Neurospora crassa OR74A: one gene and its partners. The protein of the gene in region 2 purifies or fractionates together with the protein of the main gene of each other region. This does not show direct contact. Links are inferred from orthologs where the notes say so. Each region holds a gene or a part of one and is shown on either strand. Other genes may lie near its edges.

Region 1 (4,025 bases), on a different chromosome or scaffold from region 2:
CTGGCCGGTGTGGACCAGGAACTTACAAAGGGGGGTATGTTGAAGCCGGGATTGGGAGATGTGGGGGATCGCTTGTTTTTGACAATTGGCAAGTAAATGATGAGGGGAGGGGAGAGGAAATGGGAGTTAGATTTATTTAGTATTTGGATATACAATTGAACACCGTTATATGCATGTGCTGGTGTGTCGTTATGTCCTGTTGCTTACACAGTTTACAATTCTCTTTGAGTTACTTTCATTCGCACTTGATTGAGGAAGTGATTTGGTCTTTGTAAGATGAACTCGATGTAAAGGACATGTCATTCGATGGCACAATGACCGATAGGTTCTCCCAGCGTCTTTCACCTAGTTAAAAGCAACAAGGTAGTTCAATATTGTTCTGTTGGATGGTTTTGGGTAGTCATCAGGGCAACTCGAAACAAACTTACCCATAGCCAAGACAAAATAAATGATACACATCACTTGAATCGACAAGTCTCACTCGCAATTCTGCACAGAGAGAGAGAACTCTGCGGGGTCCCAGCACGGGTAATACTAATCACCCTCTATGCCATTTCACAACTGGAAAGGGCAAAAAAAAGATATGCATTAAGAGCTACCGCCCAAAACAAAAGCCCACCATTCCCCAAACGCCCAGGTATAGTCGGTGCAGATATCAGCACCTGTTTCCAAGTCAGACCACTAAACACCGATGAAATAGAACAAGGAAACAAGAAGGGAAGAGGAAAGTCACCGGCCCTCCAAATAGCCCCTAAAGAACACCGCTCAAACCTCACGGGCCTGCTCCGCCAGCGCTGGGCACACAATCAGTGCTTCGGCTGCTGCTGCTGCTGCTGCTCCTTCCTCTTCTGCGCGCGTATCTTCCAGCTCTCCTTTATCGCCGTCGCCGCGCTCAGAAGTTCCTGATCCGACACGCCATCCCTTATACTCGCCATGACGCTGGAGACGGTACTCGTATGGTTCGCCTCATTCTTATCGTCACGAAACCTGAACAGCCGCCACCGGTTTTCGGCATCCAGACAGCACTCCACCACGCGATCCTGCAACGGGTCGCCCAGCGCCTTGAGCGTCTCCCACTCGTCCTCCGCGATATAAAGTGGGTCCGGAAAGAGTTCGTATTTGCTTCCGCCCGGTCCGTCGTTGCCGCAGAAAACGTACAGTTCCGCTTGTGGGACCGAGTCGTAATCTGTAAATTGTTCGGGAAACCCTTCGTCAAGTTCGGCCTCGGTGGCTTGTACAAGGGGGAAATTGAGGCGCATGCGGAAATCCAACGTGTTCTCGTGCGGCGCTTTCCACTTGAGAATGTGCGGGTCGGTGCCGAAGTGGTAAGGGGTGGTGCGGCACGTAAAGATGAGACCGTCGCTGTCGTGTTTCAAGGCAGGTATTACTTCGCGGAACATGGTCTCGATGCCGTACGACAGCTCCATGCGCTTCATCTCCACCTTGAAGGCCATGAAGGGAATTTCCTGTGGGAACTGTTGAAGCAGCTTTTTGTAGGGTTCGTATATGTAGGCGCTGAAGTAGCCGAGGCGCTTGTCGAGAGGTTTGTTCAAAAGTTCGGCTTTGTCGTCGAGCGCGAGTAGGTCGAAGACGAGGAAGCGCGGTTCTTTTCGACCGTTTGTGCCGGGCACTGTGTCCATCACCAGCTCGCCGTCGATGATGGTGCCGCGATGAAAGGCTTGAATGTCGTTTGGCATGGGGAAGTGCATGCTGTTGCGAGGGAGGAACCAGTAGTCGTTTTTGCGGTCGATCAGGTATTGGACTTCCTGCCCTTCTTCGTCGACGGTCAGGTAGAGGAGGTAGCGAATGCCGTCGGATTTTTCGCAGACATAGTAGCTTTACGGATGGTTAGCCAGAAGTCATGACATGCGCAACCGTAACAGACGAGCCTTGGCTTACTCCTCTCTTCGTAGTTCCTCCAGGTGCTTGCGAGCAAAGCTGACGGGTTGTGCTCCGGGAAAGCCAATGGAACTCCTCCCTAGAATCCGAGCAACTTCTTCTCGCAGCGAAATGGCCAAATCGCGGGGCGCTTTGATGCCAGGCTTGGCAATGTCGGTAATGGGCCCTGGTTGTTCCATTGTGAGGGCGGCAAGCGAGAGCGGATCGTGGACGAGCGACGGGACACGACGTAGACGGTGGTGGTGATTTGCGACAGCTGTCTGGAGTAGAGCTGGCTAGATCCAATAGCTGTGATATGTCGTAGGTTCGATTCAATACTGGTTCTTTCAGGCTGTGCCGCGAGAAGAGGAATCGAAAAAAATGCTGGGTGGTGAACAATGGACTGTAAAAAGTTGTTGAGGTCAAAGTTGGTGTTGGAGGCCACGAATTGCTAAGTCTCGTCGACAAGAACGGGTCGTCATGAACTCTTGGGCGTGACGCTTATCTTATCGCATCCCCTGGACCGTCTGGACGACACGCTATAAGTGCCATGCCAACAGGGTGTAGCCCGTTTTCTGGATGCCACTCGAGGTTCGTGGGTGTACCCGTACTACTGTATAAATAACGGTTCTAAAAAGTGATGATTTCTCATTGGTCAAAAGTAGGCTGAAGAGTAGAAGAGAAGAGGGATCTGGAGAGACAAGCTAGCTTAAATAGGCTAAGAGTAGCCAATGCACGTGACACAAACAAGTGGGTCTCAGTTCCATTCTCACCGGGACTGTACCTACAGGTAGGTACTTACTGATTAAATACTGCGAAGCAAGGCCTACCATCCATATGCGCTACATGCCCTCTGGAACGCGACCAAGTGAAGGAGGCGACCTGGATGGAAACCACCTCCGTCATTCACATGGTACGTCTACTGTATCGCCCCAACCTCGGGGTATCTGTTTTCAGGTTCTCTAGAAATCAGGCATAATCGGACATGCATATGCCTGATTTGTATATATTATGCCCGCAAAACTAGTATTAAAAATGGAGTTTTGTTGCTACCCCGGAGAACTGTAACCTCAACTCTTCTTATACTCTGCCTTTTTTCATCTATTTTTTGGAAAGGCGCTGGATGGTGGATATTCGAAGTCAACTAACGTCTTGCATACAATTTCTGGCGGCCATGGATGTTGCAGTACAGTATGCTCACAGATCATGCCTGATTTCCACGGAACTTGAAAACGGATGCCCCGAGTCTACACGGTATTATCAGATTCCAAGTCTCCCATGTCTTTACACTCACCTTTGAGGTCCACCGTATGCAGTTGTAGTGGACAAAGGCTCAGGGGCAGCAACCACCAGTCCAATGCCGATCATGCTTTTGTCCAAAAAGTGAACTATCTGGCCTATGCAAGGTACGTTCCACCACACTACACCTCCAGATCTCCCCCGAGATTCCTTGAAAGAAGTGTGGAACCTGCCCATTCAAGGTTCGTTGTTGCATGTTACGTAGTTGCCTGCTGTCTGGCCCATTGCAACCCGTCCAACCTCTCGTCCAACATGCCCGCCTGGGTTGCACAAAATGAAGGGACAAATATCAGAAAATAGGTAGTCCTGCTCCATCAGTCGTAATGCATGGACTCTCATTATGTTTTATTCTCGTCTAAATTGATATTCGTCATCAAGACAAAAAACAACCCTTTTGACATCTCCTCAACGCCCGGAAAGTTGTTGGTACACTCTCCACATGATAAATCATCCCTCATGACGTTTGATATGAACCAACCCACTCGGAGAACGGACCACTCTGTTCGACTAAGACTCGTTGATCTTGTTGACCTCGGCCTTCGCTTCCTCCCAAGTCTCCTGGTTCTTCTTTGCCCACTCAATCTGGCTCTTGGCATACGCGAGCTAAGACCCAAGTTAGCAATTGGTCGTGATCGGTATACTGTAAATTGTCGTGGTCTTACCATGTACCGCTTGAGGTCATCCTCCTTCTCACGTTGAAACCTCTTTAGATCCTTGAGGACGCTCGCGCTCGCGTCCTTGACATCCTTGGCCGATGCAATCTGTGCTTGCTCCAGTTGCACGATGGATTCCCTAGTCTTTCCAATAGTGTCACGCCGGGTCCGCTCAGGATCAACGTCCACCACTCC
Region 2 (4,159 bases):
CAATACAATTGATCCGGGAAAGCGACTTACTTCTGATTTCAACGAGCTTGTCCTGCTCAACTACGTCCTCCATATCCTTCTTCTCCTGCTCCTTCTTGACAGCGTCTCGTTTGAGGTTCGAGATTTGGTTTGCAATGTCAGCATACCTATCGCCATCGGTTGATTTGAAAGTCAAGCTCCTGACGAAGTGCGCAGATGCATCTTCGAAGGGCTGCTCATCCTTCCGACCCACACCCTGGCCAGGAGATAGGAAGTTGATTCTCAAGAATGACCACTCGCCCTCGTCACTCTTGCTTGCGTTCTTGATGGTGTTGATATGGAAGGGTACCGGCCTGCCCATAACAGGCAGTACTATGGTCGCGTTCTTTTGATCAATAACGATGCCCATATCCTTAACCTTGGGCGGGAATTGATTATCCCGCTTGTAAGATTCGAAGCGCTTGAACTTTTTGATTTCGACGCCATTCTCATCAGCGGTAGATTCGGCGTATTTGGCCAAGCCTTCCTTCTGTTTCTTCTGCGCGAGTTCCTTCTGATGCTCGCGACGTCTCTTGTCCGCGTCCTCATCTACCGTTGTATTACGCTCAGAGCGTAGACGAGTGCTAGTGATGTTCTTGGTTGCAACGGCACCCACCCTAGAGTCCCGCTTCTCCTTTTTCGGTGTGGGCTGTGCTTCTTCCTCATCTTTGAAGAAGAACGAGGTGGCATCAACATCGACAGGCGCCTCGCCAGTAAACACCACCGGCTCGGAGCTAGTGACACGGATCGTATCGGAAAGGATCAAGGAATAGACCTTGCTGTTCTTGTCTTGGGGGTTGGGGTTCTGGATATCACTGAAGCCGGTGGTCACAACCAGTGTCATGCCATCCTTAAGGGTACGGGTGTTCTTGTTGTTGAGAATCAAGGTCGGGTCCTTGTTCTCCAGGCCGATTCCAAAGCCGACGTTCTTAAGAAAGTGCTTCTCAAGATCGGGCTTTTTGGACCGCACAAAGTTGTAGGCCTTGGTGTAAACATCCTTGACAATGGCACCATCCCGGATCTCCTTGAGAATGAGGTTGTGGACAGCAAGTAGGAACTTGTAGTTGCTTTCTTGGGACTTGTTGGGATCGACCATGAAAGTTCTGGCGATTTGGGAGCAATAGGACTTGTATCTGAGACCCATAGCCGCGATGATAATTCCCGGGTGGAGTATATCATTGTCAGAATCAGCCTGCCACTTCAGGTCAAATTTGCCACCACTTTGGACGATCGGTCCCAGAATCCAGTCCAGCTGCTCGGGATCGAGGTCAGCCGGGAGCTTCTGTCGGTTGGGCAGCTCGACGGTCTTCCAAAACTTATCGTCTTCCAGTTTGTTGAAGACCTTATCGGCTAGTGCGCTGTGCTTGATCTTCTTATCTTGGTCGAGGATATTGGACATTTCGTCGAGGAAGTAAGGGGTCAGGAGGGCGACGCAAGCCTTGGACGAGGTCCGCATGGCACGAAGCTCGGTCTCATCCTTGACGGAGAAGGCGCCAGCAGACAGAGCCTGGGCAACGTCAACCTCCTCCACATCCTTGCAGTTATCGGCATAGACCTTCTTCCATTCGTCGATAAAGGGGCCCTTGGAGGTGTCCTTGGTAAGGACGCCAACCTTCTTCTATAACGAGCGAAAATGTGTTAGAACCGCACCGAGATGTTGATGTGCGCCCAGGATGGGATGTAACTTACGCCCGCAGCCTTGATGGCATCCGTAATTTTGATGAAAAGCTTCTCGTTCTCGGCGGCGTCCTTCCCCCGCACGAGGACCTCAACGGGGTATCTGCCGCCCTTCACTTGGTCGAGGTACTTGGCTATTAACGTGTCAGATAGTTTGTCCGCGTTCTTGGGTCGGGAATACCGGGCGAACCTTTCTTTTGGGTGGTGAGAATGTAGATGGTGTCGAGGGTAAACAGCATGAGGGTCGTCGGGAACTCGTAACCTAGCAGCCAGAACTTTACGTAGAGCTATCAGCAGCTGTCATTTGACTGGAATGGCCCGCCAGACGTACAGCCAGCGCACGCCGAGCGGGCTCTCCAGAGGGCAAAACTCACATGGATAGCGTTGTTCTTGTGAAACTCGGGGTTCTCGTCGACCTTGCCCATCAGGATGACGATGGAAGAGACGCCACCGAAGAGAGCGTCTCCGGAGCGCTTGTCGGCCTTCCAGGCATTGTAGAAGTGCGAGACGCGCTCCTGGAAGACCTTGCTGTCGATTTTGATGTCTGCCATGATGAGCGACGGCACAGCGGCGCGCGATTGAAGATGGCAGAAACAATCAAATCAGCAGAGGTTTGGGTTTGGGTGAAGTCGTGCTTTTGGCGAGGGGCTGCTTGCTCTGGTACTGACGGTGGCGGCAGACACCCTTCAAGATGACAGAAACAAGGCTACCACACCTCTCCAGCCGGCACTGCTAGTACTTTACAGTGCTTGCCAGCCGGGATCCGGTTCCAGGCCAAAGACACAAAAATTCCCGTGTCGCGCGTCGCTCACGTCACGGGCCACAGCTCTTGGCGCCCCTGTCCACTGCCTTCGCGTTAGGATGCCTAAGAGGTTCTGTTCTGTGCCTGAGGCAACTATATATGCTGGTTGCCACGGCAATGGTGATATTCCTGAAAGGTCTGTAGTATGGGAATCGTAGAGAAGTATATTGATGAATGATGGAAATAGACGAGCGTAAATGGTGTCGTCGGGACTTCCAACAACTTGCGATTCTGTTAACTTTGTAAGTCGAACTTGTACCTCTTTCTTTAGGTGCCCTGCAGCGAGTGCATGGAGATGAAAGAGGGACAGGCGGGACAGGGCGTGGAATGGAAACAGAGGGACGGGAGGGGTGGAGCTAAGTTTCCAATGCACAGGTACGATTAAACTAAGTCTTGGCAAGCGATGGAAGCTCTGGGGTGCCGAACTTCTTCCATTTAAATACTAGTAGACGTACTAACCAGAACTCACCTTTCTTTACTTCGACGCAAAGAACGTCCTCAGCAGCGATCAACCTAGAGCTGATACCCATGTCAACCTGAATGAATAAATGAACGAGTGATGGCAATCACTGTGCGAAACGACAGCAACACTATCTTCAAGAATAGACTCGACGGGCCCAGACACCGCGTACAAGTGCAAAGAGCAATGTCCAAGATGCCGCTCGGAAAACCTGTGATGTTTCACATCTATACTTGATAGATCGGCATTCTGGAAGATACCGCCATGAGATGGAAAAATTGGCTAACATCTGCCCGACGGGAAACTTTACTGAATGGTGGAAGACGACGAACTGTGCCCATCGAACCAATCACTTGTCCGTGATTTGACGTTCACTGCAAAGCGAGCTGCTGTACTGCAAAAATAAGTAGTTCCCGCTGCCGTCTCGACAACCATTTGGGCATCTTCTGGACCTTGGTTCGGGTAACTTAGACAGCACATCATAAGGTCCAGATCACTAATAGAAGACAAGCTGCCATCAGCACAACTTCCGAGAAGGGCCCTTGAGCTGTATCCTGCCCAGTATGAAGCGAGGACGAGCCTCCCACACCATCTAGTAAGTATCCGCACAATTATCTTGGATTCCTTTATCCGGCTGGTGATTCAGTCCGGTCCTCTTTGGGATCGAAACCGTGAATCCACCGGAGGCCACTCGGGGCCGGCCCATCGGCTGCCGGTACGGCGGCAGTTCCGCACGGACCCGACCGGAGCAGTGCCATTTGGCCCCACTTCCCCGGATTCAGAAGTGAATGACAAATTTCAAAAGTTGAAGTTCGCTTCCTCGGTGTCCAACACCACCACTCTAGGTCGATTTTCAAGATTTGTACATAGAAAGAACAGGGTCATAATAATACGTCAAAATGGTTCGTGAACAGTTTCAATCAGTCCAATCCTTTGTTTCGAGACAGTTGAAGACCTCATCGCGCATACCTACCTACGAACTACAGGCTTCTCCAAACTTGAGGACGGTTGAGACTAACACGGTATTCGTCTTATAGGTTCACGCCGACGCTTCCAACTTTGCTGCCAACGTCACCAAGGAAGAGGCCTACCAGCAGGTTCTTGACCAAGCTGAAGGTCTGTTCTATGAGCAGAGGAACTGGGTAAGATGAGGAACCAAGCCTGCTTGCACCACCACATCAGGAAGGGACAATGTCTAAAAA
Region 3 (4,137 bases), on a different chromosome or scaffold from region 2:
TTTCCTCCTTCTCCGCCTTCCTCTTCTGCGTTTTCCTCCTCGATGCGTTGCCGACCCTTGAAGGTCTGCTTGTCCGGGACGACATATTTGTTGCGGTGGAATTCGTGAAGCAAAATGTACTCGTTCCGCTCAGCACGCGTACCGGTAAGTGTTCTTGCCCACGAGTTACCAGCCAGGTTGGTGAGAACCTTGGTAAGAGGAAGAATTTGAGTCCTGAGTGCAAGAGCCGCGATGAAGTAAGTGTCAGTCTCGGCGTGGGAGATGTAGTCCATCAAACCATGTTTGTCAGCGTTAGCCCACGTCTTCAGGGCGACTTCGTTGTCGATATCCCTCCTACGACTTTCGCCTCCCAGATACAGACTGCACATCTCGGTCAAGGACCAGGTCTGGCACTTGGTCATTACTGATTTACCGGCATCGTTAGCAAGATCGCATAGCAGACGGCCAGACATTATCTGACGTTCGGCAAATACATTGCCACCCATCTTAACAATGGACGAGGGCCACTGAGAGCGCCTGAGTCTGCCCAAACGAGACCATTGATGTGTCTTTTTCTCGTGCAGCCGGTTCAGCAAGATGCTGTAGTCAACACCTTCTAGCTGGTGGCCAAGGATAACGTCTGGATCGACAACATCGATCTGTGCGAGCAAGAAATTCAAGATCTCGTGTTCCTGCTTGAAGAGCTTGAGCACACCTCTGTTTCTTTCCTTGGCAAGCGTCTCGAAGCCGATAGGAAATGCGCTACCGTAAGGTCTAACAGCGGTGAAACTACGAGAAGCAAGCTTGTCTGGGGGAGTGGTGTCACTGAGCGACACATCAAGGTAGACTCTCCCGCTAACCGCGAGAATCTCCTGCTTATTATCCTTAGGGTTGAACGCTGTGCGCATAGCCAGGCTTAACAACGTCAAAGGAGGAGGCTCAATACTCTCGGCGTTATCCGGGACCGACACCATGTTGGGATGTTCTACCAGGACCTCCAGCTTGCAGTGCGAAGCATTCCTCAAGGAAGTGAAGTCTGCATCCTCGATCTTGAGCCAGCAGGGGCCCATGATGTTCTTCCAGAGCACAAACTGCTCGAACAGAGCGGTATTGGTACCAAAGACGTGGGAGAAGGTTTCGCCTTTGTGGGTGGGTTCCATCGCAGGCTTGGTATATGGGTAGAGGAGCTTCAAATACTGGCTCTCCTTGGGAACGTCGGGAAGCTCGAATGCGTACTTGCGGGTGCAAGCCTTGATCTTGTGCATGCCGACATTCATCTTGGTCATGATTTCATCAACCTCGTTGTAGACGTCCATCATTTCCACCTCTTCTGTTGTTTCCTCGCCACCTCGCACACGGTACTTGCGCGGCAGGAAGAAAAGCTTCCGGAGAATGTTGTCAACCTTGACAAAGCAGCTGACGTAGGTTTTGGTCTTTTTGTTTAGGACCTTGCCAAACAAGCACAAACTGCCGTTGACCTCTGTGTAGTCTGTCCAGAACATGTTCAAGCTGCCGTCTTCTTCGATAGCGTCCTTGTAGTCAATCTTGCCAACGCTCCTGCCCTCGCTTTGTGACATGGATACGACATTGAGCTTCTGATTGATCTCGTTCCAGGAAGCAGCGTCGACCTCTGGCGCTGGTGCCCTTGCGGGTGACGAACTGGCCGGGACGGGCTCTGTCTTGAGAATCTTTTTGATTTGACGGGATGCTGATATGTTGACGCTGGCGGCTGTTACCGCTCCAGTATGGGCAACCTCCATCATGTCCTCATCTTCGTCCTCATCATCCTCATTCTTTTTGGGTTCCGGCCTGCCAAACGTCCTCCGTGTTGCTACTTTGGCGGCCGGTGAGGAGGGCATGATGGCGTCGCTCATAAGATAATCGGAGACTGGTGCAGGTTCGTCGTCCATAGCAGGCAGGTAGTCGTCGTCTGGTAGAAGGTCGTCGTCTCCTGCTGGGGATGATGCCCGATCATCGACTGTCTTGGCTCTCTTTGCCATGGGTGGCCGAGGTTCCCGTACCGGGGAGAGCACCCGGACCTTTCTCCTCTCGACTGATCGATCTCGCTTCTTGGATACTCGTGTGACCGGGACGGGGATTTGTGCGGTGACCTGGTCGATGAGGTCGTCCAAGAACTTTTCATCTTCTTCTGTTTTGATGACCTTTTGTTTTGGTGGGGCTTTGACGGCGCCTTTCGTGAAGTATTCGGTGATGTCTCTGTCGTTGGCATCTCGTTTCGCATCTTCATGTTCCTTTTGTTTCTTGGCTAAGAGGGAGGAGAACGAAGGTCAGTACCAGAACCAGAGTGCTTTATAAGTTGCTCCCATCGTCGGGTTTCAGCGTCTCGATCTGCTCACACTTGCGCGGCTTGCTGCCGGGTAGGCCTAATTCCTCCTCGCTGTCGCTGTGGTACTGGGGGAGACGGTCCCATTCTTCGCGGCCGTCGTCGGCATAACCCTCGCCATTGTCGTCAACCACGAAATCGTCCTCGTTCAAGCGGTCTCTGACGATTTTCTTGTACTGGTTCTCGTCGACTTCTTCGTAGAGCTCGTCGATCTCGCCGACGTCGTAGGTCTTCTTCTTGCCGGACTGGCGCAGTTCGCGCAGCTCAGCGTACTTGTCTCGCTTGGCTACTCGTCTGGACATTTTGACAGGCCGTTGTGATGTTGCCTTTAGGATTGGAGATTGGATGGTGACGAGACAACAGAGGAGCACCAGGCCAACACTCTGGAGAGAATGTCGACGGGGCCACCGTGATGTGGTAGTGTTGGTGACAAGAGTCGTAAGAGAAATATAGTGGGATTACAGGGTTCAATTGGTCCCCTCCAGTAACAAAAAGAAAGTCGCGTTTAGTTTCGTTACTCGTCGCGTACTTTACTGTAAACTGTAAGCGCGAACCCTTGTCCCCGTCACGGTCGTGTTTAAGAGGTGGGGCAGTTCTGCTGCTTTGGCCTAAGCGGATACCTAAGGAAAGCAACGTAGTGGCCCACGTACATAGTGTACGTACCTTTCAGCAACGGGGCCCCTGTCAGTGTACCTGATGCCGACCCCCGACCCACCGCGTCTCCACAAGTGCAAAAGGCCGCGGCAGGCATTTTTGTAGATCAGTCTCCAAAATTTCGGAATGTCATCCTAACTTTTGGCCATCATTCACGGTCTCCATCTCAGCATCATCCTCCGTCCAGAGTCCAGGGCAGTTGTGCGCCCGCCGCAGCAAAATACCAAATATCGATTTCTTCCCGGGCCATAGCTTTGATACCACATCGCCCAATTCTCAAAGTTGTCTAGAACAACAGGAAATCGTCACAGGAAACTCGACGATCCAGATACCCCACCAACCGACCATTAGCAACACAGGTACCTCGGCCCGTACCTCGCAGAAGAAAAAGATTCAAAACAATCAAGGGCAAACTCGGTTGTCCGCAAACCATGTTTGTGTGCCGGGCTTGTCTGCGGAAAGGCCTGGCTCCTGGAGCTTTGGCTAGGATAAATGCGCCTGCAGTTGGATCTCGTCTGGCCCTTCCAAGGTTAGGCGCACTTACACCAAGCCAGTCCACGACCACCATACGATCCTACCACTTGCCCGCCCTCAAGCCAAAGACTGCCGCCGATCCCTCCGTTACCCTCGATCTCGAAGCGCCGGAAGGGGAAGAAGATGGAGACGGGTCGGAAGGGAAGAGGAAGAAGAGGGACCTGAGCGACGAGCAGCGGAAGAAGCTGGAGCGCAGTGCGGCTTTACAACTAAAGCACTTCAAGGATCCCTTCCACATCGAGAAGCAGGTCAAGTTGACCCTTGACAAAGGAAAATATGAAGAGGCCCTTGTTCTCACCCGCAAGGCCAGCAAGAACGCAAAGGTCCAAGTCTCGTGGAACCATCTGATCGACTACCACATGAAGAACAAGCGTCTGTCTGCCGCCATCAAGATCTACAACGAGATGAAGAAGCGCGCCCAGGTTCCAGATGCCAGGACTTACACCATCATCTTCCGAGGCTGCGCCATGAGCGAGCACCCCAAGCAGGCAGTTGCAGAAGCCGTCAAGATCTACCACAGCTTGCTCAGGAATGAGCGCGTGAAGCCAACCACAATTCATCTTAACGCTGTCCTCGAGACATGTGCCCGCGCCGGCGATTTGGACAGCATGTTCACGACAGTACAA
Region 4 (3,816 bases), on a different chromosome or scaffold from region 2:
CGGGAGACGAGGAGGAGGCGCTGAGTCCGGATTCTTTAGATCACGGCAGCAGCTATGGGCACCCCGTGGTACGGGCCAATGGCACCGGTTTGGAAAGCAATGTGGGACCGGACCAGCCCGGTGGGATCATCACGGGGAGGAAACCACCGTCGCTTGACGTTGATCAATGAGAACAGGTTGACACAGCTTACAGAGACGGGTAAATGACGATCAGATATGAAAGGCAAATTTCGACGCATTGTCGGATCAGAAGAGTCAAGGTGCATTTTCCGGAAGTAGGGACTTGGCCCGGATGGGTGGGCTTGATGACAAAAGCGATTATTTCTCTAAACGAGGAAATATGAGGAACAACAAATGGTTTTATGTCACCAACATGGGTTTTGGTACAGTCTCTCTTATGTTCAGGAGGCGTTTTGAGATAGGGAAATGAGGAACCTATCCATATGTACACATATCTACCTGGTAACTCTTCAAGGGAAGTTTGAGCACACTGGTCTTCGGCATTAATCAACGTGTTTATGCTGTGGTAACAGTTCATGTATTTGAAAGGTTCGTGTTGCCGCATGACACCGCTTGTGAATCTTTCCTCAGTAGACGCTTGGATATATGGTCTGGTCGTTTTGAATTTTCACGCTCCAAGAGACTGCCTTTCAAGCGTTAAGTTCAACTTCCCGTCGATTTGACGATTGGTTTTTAGGAGGCTTGAAACAGAGAAGGGTGCAGTTCAGCACAGACGAAGAGAAGCAAAGCCGGCAAGGTGAGAAGAAATCGTCTGGTAAGAACCGAAAAGACGTATAGCTAGACCAAAGAACATAAACACTCTATCAATGGCTCTCTCTCCCTTATTCGCATCGATCCCGACGTCCGCTGTGTAGAGGCTTATGGGGTGCGGGAATAGAAACAAAAAAACAAAGAGAAGAGAGGCACCTGTACTCATACTTTGTTACTCGATACTGTATGGTATATGCATTCCACCACCTCAAAAGTCAAAAGATCCCGTACCTCGCCTGTTCCATCCACTCATCGAACTCCACTTCAGCCTGCTCTTCATAGTCCTCCCCTAGCCTGAGACTCCGTCGCAGCCTTGCAGCAGCAGACATGAGAGGTGTCAACCAATGGTTCGGCTCGTTTGGCTCGTTTGGTAGCTCAGCTTCATCGTCAGCTTCGTCGGCGGCTCCAATCGTGGCTTCTGAATTCCAATACTCTTCATCCGCTTCTCCACCAGTAGCAGCAGGCCCTTTCTAATGAACGCCTTCACCGCCGGCAGCAACGCCTCCCGTTGCTGTACCTGCCGCCGCCGCCGCATGTTGCTGTTGGGCACCTTCAGCCTCATCCATAGCAGCCAGCTCCTCCTCTTCCTCCTCTTCCTCCTCCTCCTCCTCGTCATCATCGTCAAGCTCAGCCTCGTCCTCGGCGTCCTTGAACCCGCTCTCGACCTCGAGCTTCCTCAGCCGCCTACGCATCTCGTCCCGCTGGCTGTTCTGCCAGCGCACCAGAGCGGCAGCGGCGTGCACCTTGAAGCCGTAGCAGCGCGGAATGTAGCGCTCGACGCTCTTGGCGGGCACCAGGGTCGGGTATACCTGAAAGAAGATGTTGTGGAACGAGGTGCCGAAGTAGGCGCCGTCAATGGCGGCGTGGCGCGACGACTTGGGGTTGTAAATATCCTCGCAACGCGCGCAGTACAGCTTCACCGGCTTGGAGTTGGGCACGTCCGAGAGACCCATGGGCAGCAGAGGGTGCGAGGAACACATGACGCGCGGGCACTTGCCAAAGTCGGCTTTTTTGTACTTTTCGAACTGTTGGTGGGAAGTGCGTTAGTCACGGATGAAGACGAGGAGACGCTGGATGAAGATGGAATGCTGAGAGTTGATTACTGACCATTTTTTGAAGACCCCGCGTTGTGACAATGTATCGAGCATGGACAAGACCGTACAGGTGCCTAGCAGACTTCTCTATTGTTTCCCGCATGTCGTCATCGCAGTCGAGGTCGAAGACATCGGTGATGAGATCGAGAGCATATTGGTAGTACTGGACCTCAGTGTTGAGACCAGTTAGATTGAACCTATCAGTGATGTAGTCCTCGTCAATTTCGCAAAAGTACTCATTGCCTCGCGAGGAAATAAACTGCAGGCGGACGCGCAAATGTCAGCATGATTGGGGAACCTTTACTGTAGTAAACAATAACAACAATTGCAAGAGAAGCATACCCAGTCGCGCCAATAGCTGGCATAGTCGCTCTCAGACTCGCTCACAAAGTCATCCATGGCCGGCGACACCACGTCTATACTCGGCGCATAAAAGGAAGGGAGGAAGGTGGTGGTGGGAGGAAAGTGGGCGCGAACGACCGTCGGCTGGCGCTTCGCATCAACGAGGCCAAAATCCCGGGTGCCGGGGTCAAGTACGGCGTTTGAACCTTTTGTTGGGCCGAACTAATGCGCGCCGGGCCGTAGATGGGGAGTGGGAGGTCCGAGTCGGATGAGATTGAGCTGGCACAAGGCACAATGACGACAAGACGTTGGAGAGGATTGTGATGCTTTTTTGCGACGGTTTGATGGGAGTTCAGGTGGAAGAGGGTTCAAAGCCGTCCCTGGTGCAGGGCAACGGCAGGGCAGGCGAGGGGGTCTGGACTCTAGACCGGGAGCCAAACAGGCTGACAGTCCATGACAAGGGACTTTTTTTTTTGGTGGGGGGTTCATCGCCGTTGCAGTGGTCCCCGCAGGGCAGGTTGCAGTGCCCCCCCGCCCCTGGCTCATCGCAGTCTGTTTATCAGCAGTCCCGACCTACCCAGGGCACTACACAGAGGTAGGTTATCAGGTCTGCAAAATCGACCATCTGACTACCTAAGTACCTACCTAGGTAGGTAGGTAGGTAGCGGGCGGGTACCTTTCGTCGGCCTTCAGTCAGCCCAACGGCCCAGCGTATGACTTTAATTGTACGTTCACAGGTACTGGGGATGGAAGCATGTACTCTGTCATTAAGGTAGGTATTCTATTGGGCGTCATGACGTTCAGTGCTACAGTTTGTGCCTTATTTTTGAGCAGGTATATTGTTGGAGACGGAAAACCCAAAAAAAATATATATAAATAAATAAAAATGGGGGATAAGAACGCCAGTCGCCTGTGATTATAGCTGTTCTAGATTATCTTGAAACATCCCGGCTTCTATAACATCTGTGTTGCCCTACAGCATGTGTCTAGAGCTCAAGACCCCCGCTTCATCATAAAGTGACGTTCTGGTAGGATCGTGAGCGCCACGGCTATGGATATCCAACAATCCTACAACCAACTATCCGCTTTCCAATTTCCATCCACTTCATTAACCTTCGTACCGATTAGCACTGACAACGCTGCCGGCGTCGCTGATTGTGCGCCTGTCAGCATCCCAGTCACTACCTATGATCCCCTTGGTATTGGAAATCAATGAGCTGGTAGTGCTGGAAGCACCGTTAGCACCACCACCCTGAGGAACTCCAAGCATTGTGCCCAGCCCGCTGCCTACGCTGCCATGGCCATCCTCCAGCTCACTTTCCTGCTTCACTCGCATCTTGGCCAGCTCCATTGCTTCACGCAGCGTGTCCCCCGTTTCATCGAGCGCTGCTAAAAACCGCGCCAGCTCTTTGCATAGCTCCCAGTCGCCCTCGCGCATTGCTCTGCTTAAGAGACGCACACTCTGCTCGCTTGCTGTTGCGAGTTCGTCAAAGGTATGGAGGATGAGTAAGTAGCCGCCAGCAGTCTTGAGGCTCCCACGCTGCAAGCTCTCCTCAAACAGCTCCTGAGGTGGAGGGAGATAGGCGAACAGAGTACGCCAGGAACGCAC
Region 5 (4,209 bases), on a different chromosome or scaffold from region 2:
GAAGTCGAAAATGACAGTGTTGGGTTCCCTGAGGGTGACGTGCTCGTACTTGAGAGAGCAGCAACCGACAGTCTCGGCCTCGTTCTCGGTATCCTTTTCGTTACCGGCTCTGAGAGCGAACTTGTCAATGAGGTACATGGCCGTTGCGCGTTGCCTGTCAGCCATGACCTCGCTCTTGAGGTCCTTGGTATAATCGGCACGGATGCGATCAATGTATTTCTTGAGCTCACGGGCCTTTTCGAACTTCTTGAAATCGGCCTTGCCCTTCACAGTACTGTTTGCTGCCAACATCACATACTTGTAGTGTCCGTTGATGTTCTCTTGCCACATCGCGAGCCAAGTTGCCTTGTTGTCATGTTGAACGGCCTTCCACTTGTGGCCAGCTGGCGGCTCTGGGACCTTGGCCTCTTTGCCGATGTTGATGGTAATTTGCTCTGGCAAAACACGCTTCTTGATACACCCGGTCTTGGGGTGATCACCGCGACCACGGAAAAGTCCTGGAATTTCCACTCTGGGGTTACCAACCTTTTCTTTTCGCCCATCCCACTTGCAATATAGATAGGGGGCGTCCCTCTTGTCCCTTTCGGCTTTCTCGGCCTTCTTCTCTGCTGACGACCGGGCATTCTTAGCCTTCGTTTGAGCATCTTTGTAAGCCCACAACTGGGAGAAGTCGAGTTTTTCGAATTCCTTGATGTCAACCTTTTTGCCATTCTTGTCCTTGGCGCCACCTGTCCGATCTAGGATCTCCTTGAAGTCCCTGAAGAAGTTCTTCTGGAAAGTTGGGTTCTCAACATTCACCGTCGAGTTAAGCATGAAGCCGAAAAAGGTCGCAGCTTCCTCGGCCTCGATATCGAGTTCGACCGGCGTTCCATCGTAGAGCAGTTTGACGTCCTTGGGCAAACGCTGGTAATCCTCGGGGAAGATGACGCCGTTGTGCTCCAAGGTGGTCCACTTGATACTGTCATCTTCCTTCTTTGCCGACTCCTCCCACCACTTATACTCCTCTTCCTCATCGTCCTCATCGGTGATGTCCTTCGATTCCTCCTTGACGGACTTCTTGACAGCGGCAACCTTGCCCTTCGGGGCGGCCTTCGTGGCAGCCTTTGCAGCCGGCTTTGCAGCAGGCTTTGCAGCAGGCTTCGCGGCAGGTGCCTTCTTCGCCCGCTTAGCGATGGGCACATCCGAGTCAGACTCTTCCTTCTTCACACCATTCGTCTTCTTCGCAGCTGTGCCGTTGACCTGTCGCTTGGTGGGTTTCGCAAGGGGTTCGTCATCGGAGGATTCATCCTTGACGGCCTTCTTAGCAGCAGGCTTCTTGGCCTTGGTACCAGCACGAATACTCTTGGCTTCCTTGGCGGCTTCCTTCTCGATATTGGCCTTCTTCGCGGCGATCTTTCCGAGAGGTTCGTCGTCATCAGAATCTACGTCCATATCCGTATTCTTGGCGGAGGGAGGCAATCTCGCGCCATTTTTTTTCGCAATCGGCTCGTCGTCGCTATCGGAGTCTGGTTGCTTATGTTGTGTTTTTGAACGTTTCGCCTGTCCTGGTCAGCCACAGACCAAGCAAGGATACCAAGCTGCAAAGACTGGGAAACTTACCAAGGGTGCTTCGTCATCACTGGAGTCATCCTTATAGTTGATGGACTGATCAATGGATGTCCGCGATTTGCGCTTAGCCTGACCGCTTACTGAGGAGTCGACGTCCATCCTGTCCTGGTCGACGGGGCCATTACGGATGGAGACACCAACGGGAGCCATGTGAACCTTGGAATCAGCAGCGTCCATGGCACGATCATCGGCCTTGGAGATGGTCGGCGCCGAGGCTATAGTTGAAGAGAAAAGATTAGTCTCATGGGCGTGGTACAATGACAGATTGCATTTAGACGAGGCCATGGAAGGCATGACACGTTGACTCAGATCGGCTGGCAAACAGTGTGACGGGGCAGAGGATAGAGTGAAATAAGCGAGGGCTGATGGATGAAAGTGTGTGACTGATCACAGAAGCATTGACGTACCGTGGCCGTTGACCTTGGCGAGCGGCTTGTCGTCTTCAGAGCCCGAAGACATGGTTGCTAAAGCGTGTTGCGGTGTCGGCACTAGTAGGTACGTACGAATGTGTAAGGGCGCAAAATCCGACCCGTAGAGGTAGCGGCCGCTAAACAGTGGCGAAGGGTTGCTAGCAAGATGTCTGCAGGGCAACCGAGTCGAAAATGTTGTCGTCGGTCGTCGCTAGGAAGGGAGACGTGGAGAGAAAGAAATTCGCCGCTGGAGGTGACCGCTTACACCTTTGACCGTGGACAGAGTCTTGGTGCAAGTCACTTGGTGACCAAGGCTGGAAAGCGAGGGTCTCGGGAACTCGTCAAGGTCTTGGGTGCGCGAAAAATCGAGATGGCCGGTCGAGGGAACGAGTGTGTGAAAAAAAAAAGAGAGAGGATGTGGAGAGCCTGGAGGGTGGAGAGAACCAGAATGGCGCAAGGTGAGGGAGAAGAAGTGAAGGGAAAAAAGCGAAGGCGGAGGGCAGCATGAACGAATTCGGGAAGAGCAAGGGCAGTCGGGAGGCTGTTAAAGATAAATCCTGGGGCTCCACCCTGCAACTCTTTCTGGGCGGTCGTTGCCAGGACCGCCAGGCTGTGGAAGTATCGATGGGTGCTGTGGGTGGGTGGGTGTGTGGGTGTGTGGTGAGTGAGAACTGAGTCTCCAGTCGGGACTCCAGCCAACGGAAGGGAAGGTTTCGATGCGTCGTCGCGGTCGCAGGGGGATGTTCGCCAGGTCCAGTCTGTACCGCAATTCTCCCTGGTTCGCCTGGGTCGGTGCACCTCACCTGCCCCAAAATCCCTGAGGTGGTCGACTTTGAGAGGCCGGTACCTTTTTAGCGCGTCCCCGCTCTCGGTACCTTGAGTCTGAGCGTTCAGTTTCTAGCGTAGCGTACGCCCGTCAGTGTCGTGAGTGCGGTACGTAGAATCTATGGAATGGAAGTTCTCTGTTGCGTGTGGCAAAGACGGGCGCTCCAACAACAGTACGCTAGGCACCACTGGGATCGTGAGCACCCAGCCTCACAATGATTGCTCCAGAAAGCTGAAGGCATACTGACACACCTTGTTCATTCAAACAGAAAAACACCGCGTCGTCTGATCTTCACCCTAGTGAAGCTTCCGTGTGCTTGCTTAATCTGTGGGTGACTTAGGTTCAAGTTATTTACCGTCAAGGACACTGAGACGTGGACGCTTTTGATACAACCGTTTGCAAGGCACTTCCTCGTTCAAGTGAGCACCAAATTCACAACCGGATCGATGCTAAGTAGTTATCTCAGCGCTCAGACCCACCTTGAGCTCCCGGGCGTGCACGGACCTGTAACGAATACCACAATCTCAGCATTTTATTGATAAATTGAATTTTCTTTCCAAACCGGGCAATATTTTGGCCCTCCGCTCAAGGAGGTCTGAGTACACAACTCGATTAGAATCGCGTAGAGGTTGACCAACCCCCCAGAATATCAACCTCAACACTATAACTTCACAACAACACGTCGCATCACGAGGGTTTCTAGTTAATTCGGATCGCAAAAATCACAGCTTTCCAACGGTATCAATTTCATTATCATTACCATAGAGGAAGACTCCCAACACAAGGATGCGCAATCCATTCGCAATCTTCCAGCCCACATACAACATCGTCGTAATCGCTCTTAAGTATAACCATATTACTAACGTACTTCTTTAGCAACTAAACTATTAGGAATTAAAGAATTATTTGCTCTCTCTTCTACTCCATCTAATATTTAAGTCCCGGATTATATATAAGTAGAGCAAGACGTCGATAATAGAGTAAACTACAATAATACACTTATAGAGGATAATAATTATAATATTATTAAAGAGATATTCGACCTTTAGGCTCGCCTCCAATTAAGGTATAGTAAATGCGTAATAAAAGTAGCGATAAAAGGATAAGTTATTAAACTAAAGTCGTTTAATATTAAGGTATTTATAGTAGAGTAGTTTAAAGTTAGGCGTAGAAGTATAGATTTTATTAGTTTTTTCGACGAAAATAACAATATAAAGGAAGCTTTTAATAATAGTAGTCTTATTATTTAGTATACCGTTAATATACCCGATGGTCTAAATTACCCTACTTTTATACTATATAAAGAGATATAGGCCCTATTTACTGAGTTATTCTTCGGATAGTTTGAGGTTGAAAATATTTATT

Evidence for each region. The genes of interacting proteins can lie anywhere in the genome.
Region 1: the proteins of NCU01164 (region 2) and NCU06260 purify together in Saccharomyces cerevisiae (affinity purification with mass spectrometry; 3 studies listed by BioGRID). This does not show direct contact. The link is inferred for Neurospora crassa OR74A from reciprocal best matches to the Saccharomyces cerevisiae genes SPT16 and CEG1.
Region 3: the proteins of NCU01164 (region 2) and NCU07870 purify together in Saccharomyces cerevisiae (affinity purification with western blotting; 4 studies listed by BioGRID, with this or other methods). This does not show direct contact. The link is inferred for Neurospora crassa OR74A from reciprocal best matches to the Saccharomyces cerevisiae genes SPT16 and POL1.
Region 4: the proteins of NCU01164 (region 2) and ckb-2 purify together in Saccharomyces cerevisiae (affinity purification with mass spectrometry; 9 studies listed by BioGRID). This does not show direct contact. The link is inferred for Neurospora crassa OR74A from reciprocal best matches to the Saccharomyces cerevisiae genes SPT16 and CKB2.
Region 5: the proteins of NCU01164 (region 2) and NCU09118 purify together in Saccharomyces cerevisiae (affinity purification with mass spectrometry; 3 studies listed by BioGRID). This does not show direct contact. The link is inferred for Neurospora crassa OR74A from reciprocal best matches to the Saccharomyces cerevisiae genes SPT16 and TOP1.

Annotation. Positions count from the first base shown.
Region 1 is NC_026503.1:2,102,126-2,106,150, reverse strand, and holds NCU06260 (mRNA-capping enzyme subunit alpha), read right to left. Parts: upstream 2,536-4,025; 5' UTR 2,079-2,535; coding exon 1,900-2,078; exon of another isoform or gene 1,890-1,899; intron 1,837-1,889; coding exon 807-1,836; 3' UTR 501-806; downstream 1-500. Other genes in the region: NCU06261 (uracil phosphoribosyltransferase), read left to right, coding at 1-96; NCU06259 (sorting nexin-41), read right to left, coding at 3,685-3,780, 3,840-4,025. UniProt on the Saccharomyces cerevisiae protein: Second step of mRNA capping. Transfer of the GMP moiety of GTP to the 5'-diphosphate terminus of RNA via a covalent enzyme-GMP reaction intermediate.
Region 2 is NC_026505.1:3,095,793-3,099,951, reverse strand, and holds the start of NCU01164 (transcription elongation complex subunit), read right to left. Parts: upstream 2,810-4,159; 5' UTR 2,247-2,809; coding exon 2,070-2,246; intron 1,971-2,069; coding exon 1,886-1,970; intron 1,830-1,885; coding exon 1,708-1,829; intron 1,637-1,707; coding exon 31-1,636; intron 1-30. Other genes in the region: NCU01163 (GAF domain nucleotide-binding protein), read left to right, coding at 3,857-3,859, 3,995-4,099. UniProt on the Saccharomyces cerevisiae protein: Component of the FACT complex, a general chromatin factor that acts to reorganize nucleosomes. The FACT complex is involved in multiple processes that require DNA as a template such as mRNA elongation, DNA replication and DNA repair.
Region 3 is NC_026503.1:1,182,422-1,186,558, forward strand, and holds the start of NCU07870 (DNA polymerase alpha catalytic subunit), read right to left. Parts: upstream 2,801-4,137; 5' UTR 2,626-2,800; coding exon 2,337-2,625; intron 2,246-2,336; coding exon 1-2,245. Other genes in the region: NCU07871 (hypothetical protein), read left to right, coding at 3,409-4,137. UniProt on the Saccharomyces cerevisiae protein: Catalytic component of DNA polymerase alpha, which in complex with DNA primase (DNA polymerase alpha:primase) constitutes a replicative polymerase. POL1 has a role in promoting telomere replication during interaction with CDC13.
Region 4 is NC_026501.1:3,448,762-3,452,577, reverse strand, and holds ckb-2 (casein kinase II subunit beta-2), read right to left. Parts: upstream 2,639-3,816; 5' UTR 2,265-2,638; coding exon 2,208-2,264; intron 2,125-2,207; coding exon 1,879-2,124; intron 1,797-1,878; coding exon 1,242-1,796; 3' UTR 501-1,241; downstream 1-500. Other genes in the region: NCU02755 (PAP2 domain-containing protein), read left to right, coding at 1-170; NCU11228 (DUF1339 domain-containing protein), read right to left, coding at 3,316-3,816. UniProt on the Saccharomyces cerevisiae protein: Regulatory subunit of casein kinase II/CK2.
Region 5 is NC_026501.1:5,391,589-5,395,797, forward strand, and holds the start of NCU09118 (DNA topoisomerase I), read right to left. Parts: upstream 2,801-4,209; 5' UTR 2,068-2,800; coding exon 2,016-2,067; intron 1,824-2,015; coding exon 1,600-1,823; intron 1,540-1,599; coding exon 1-1,539.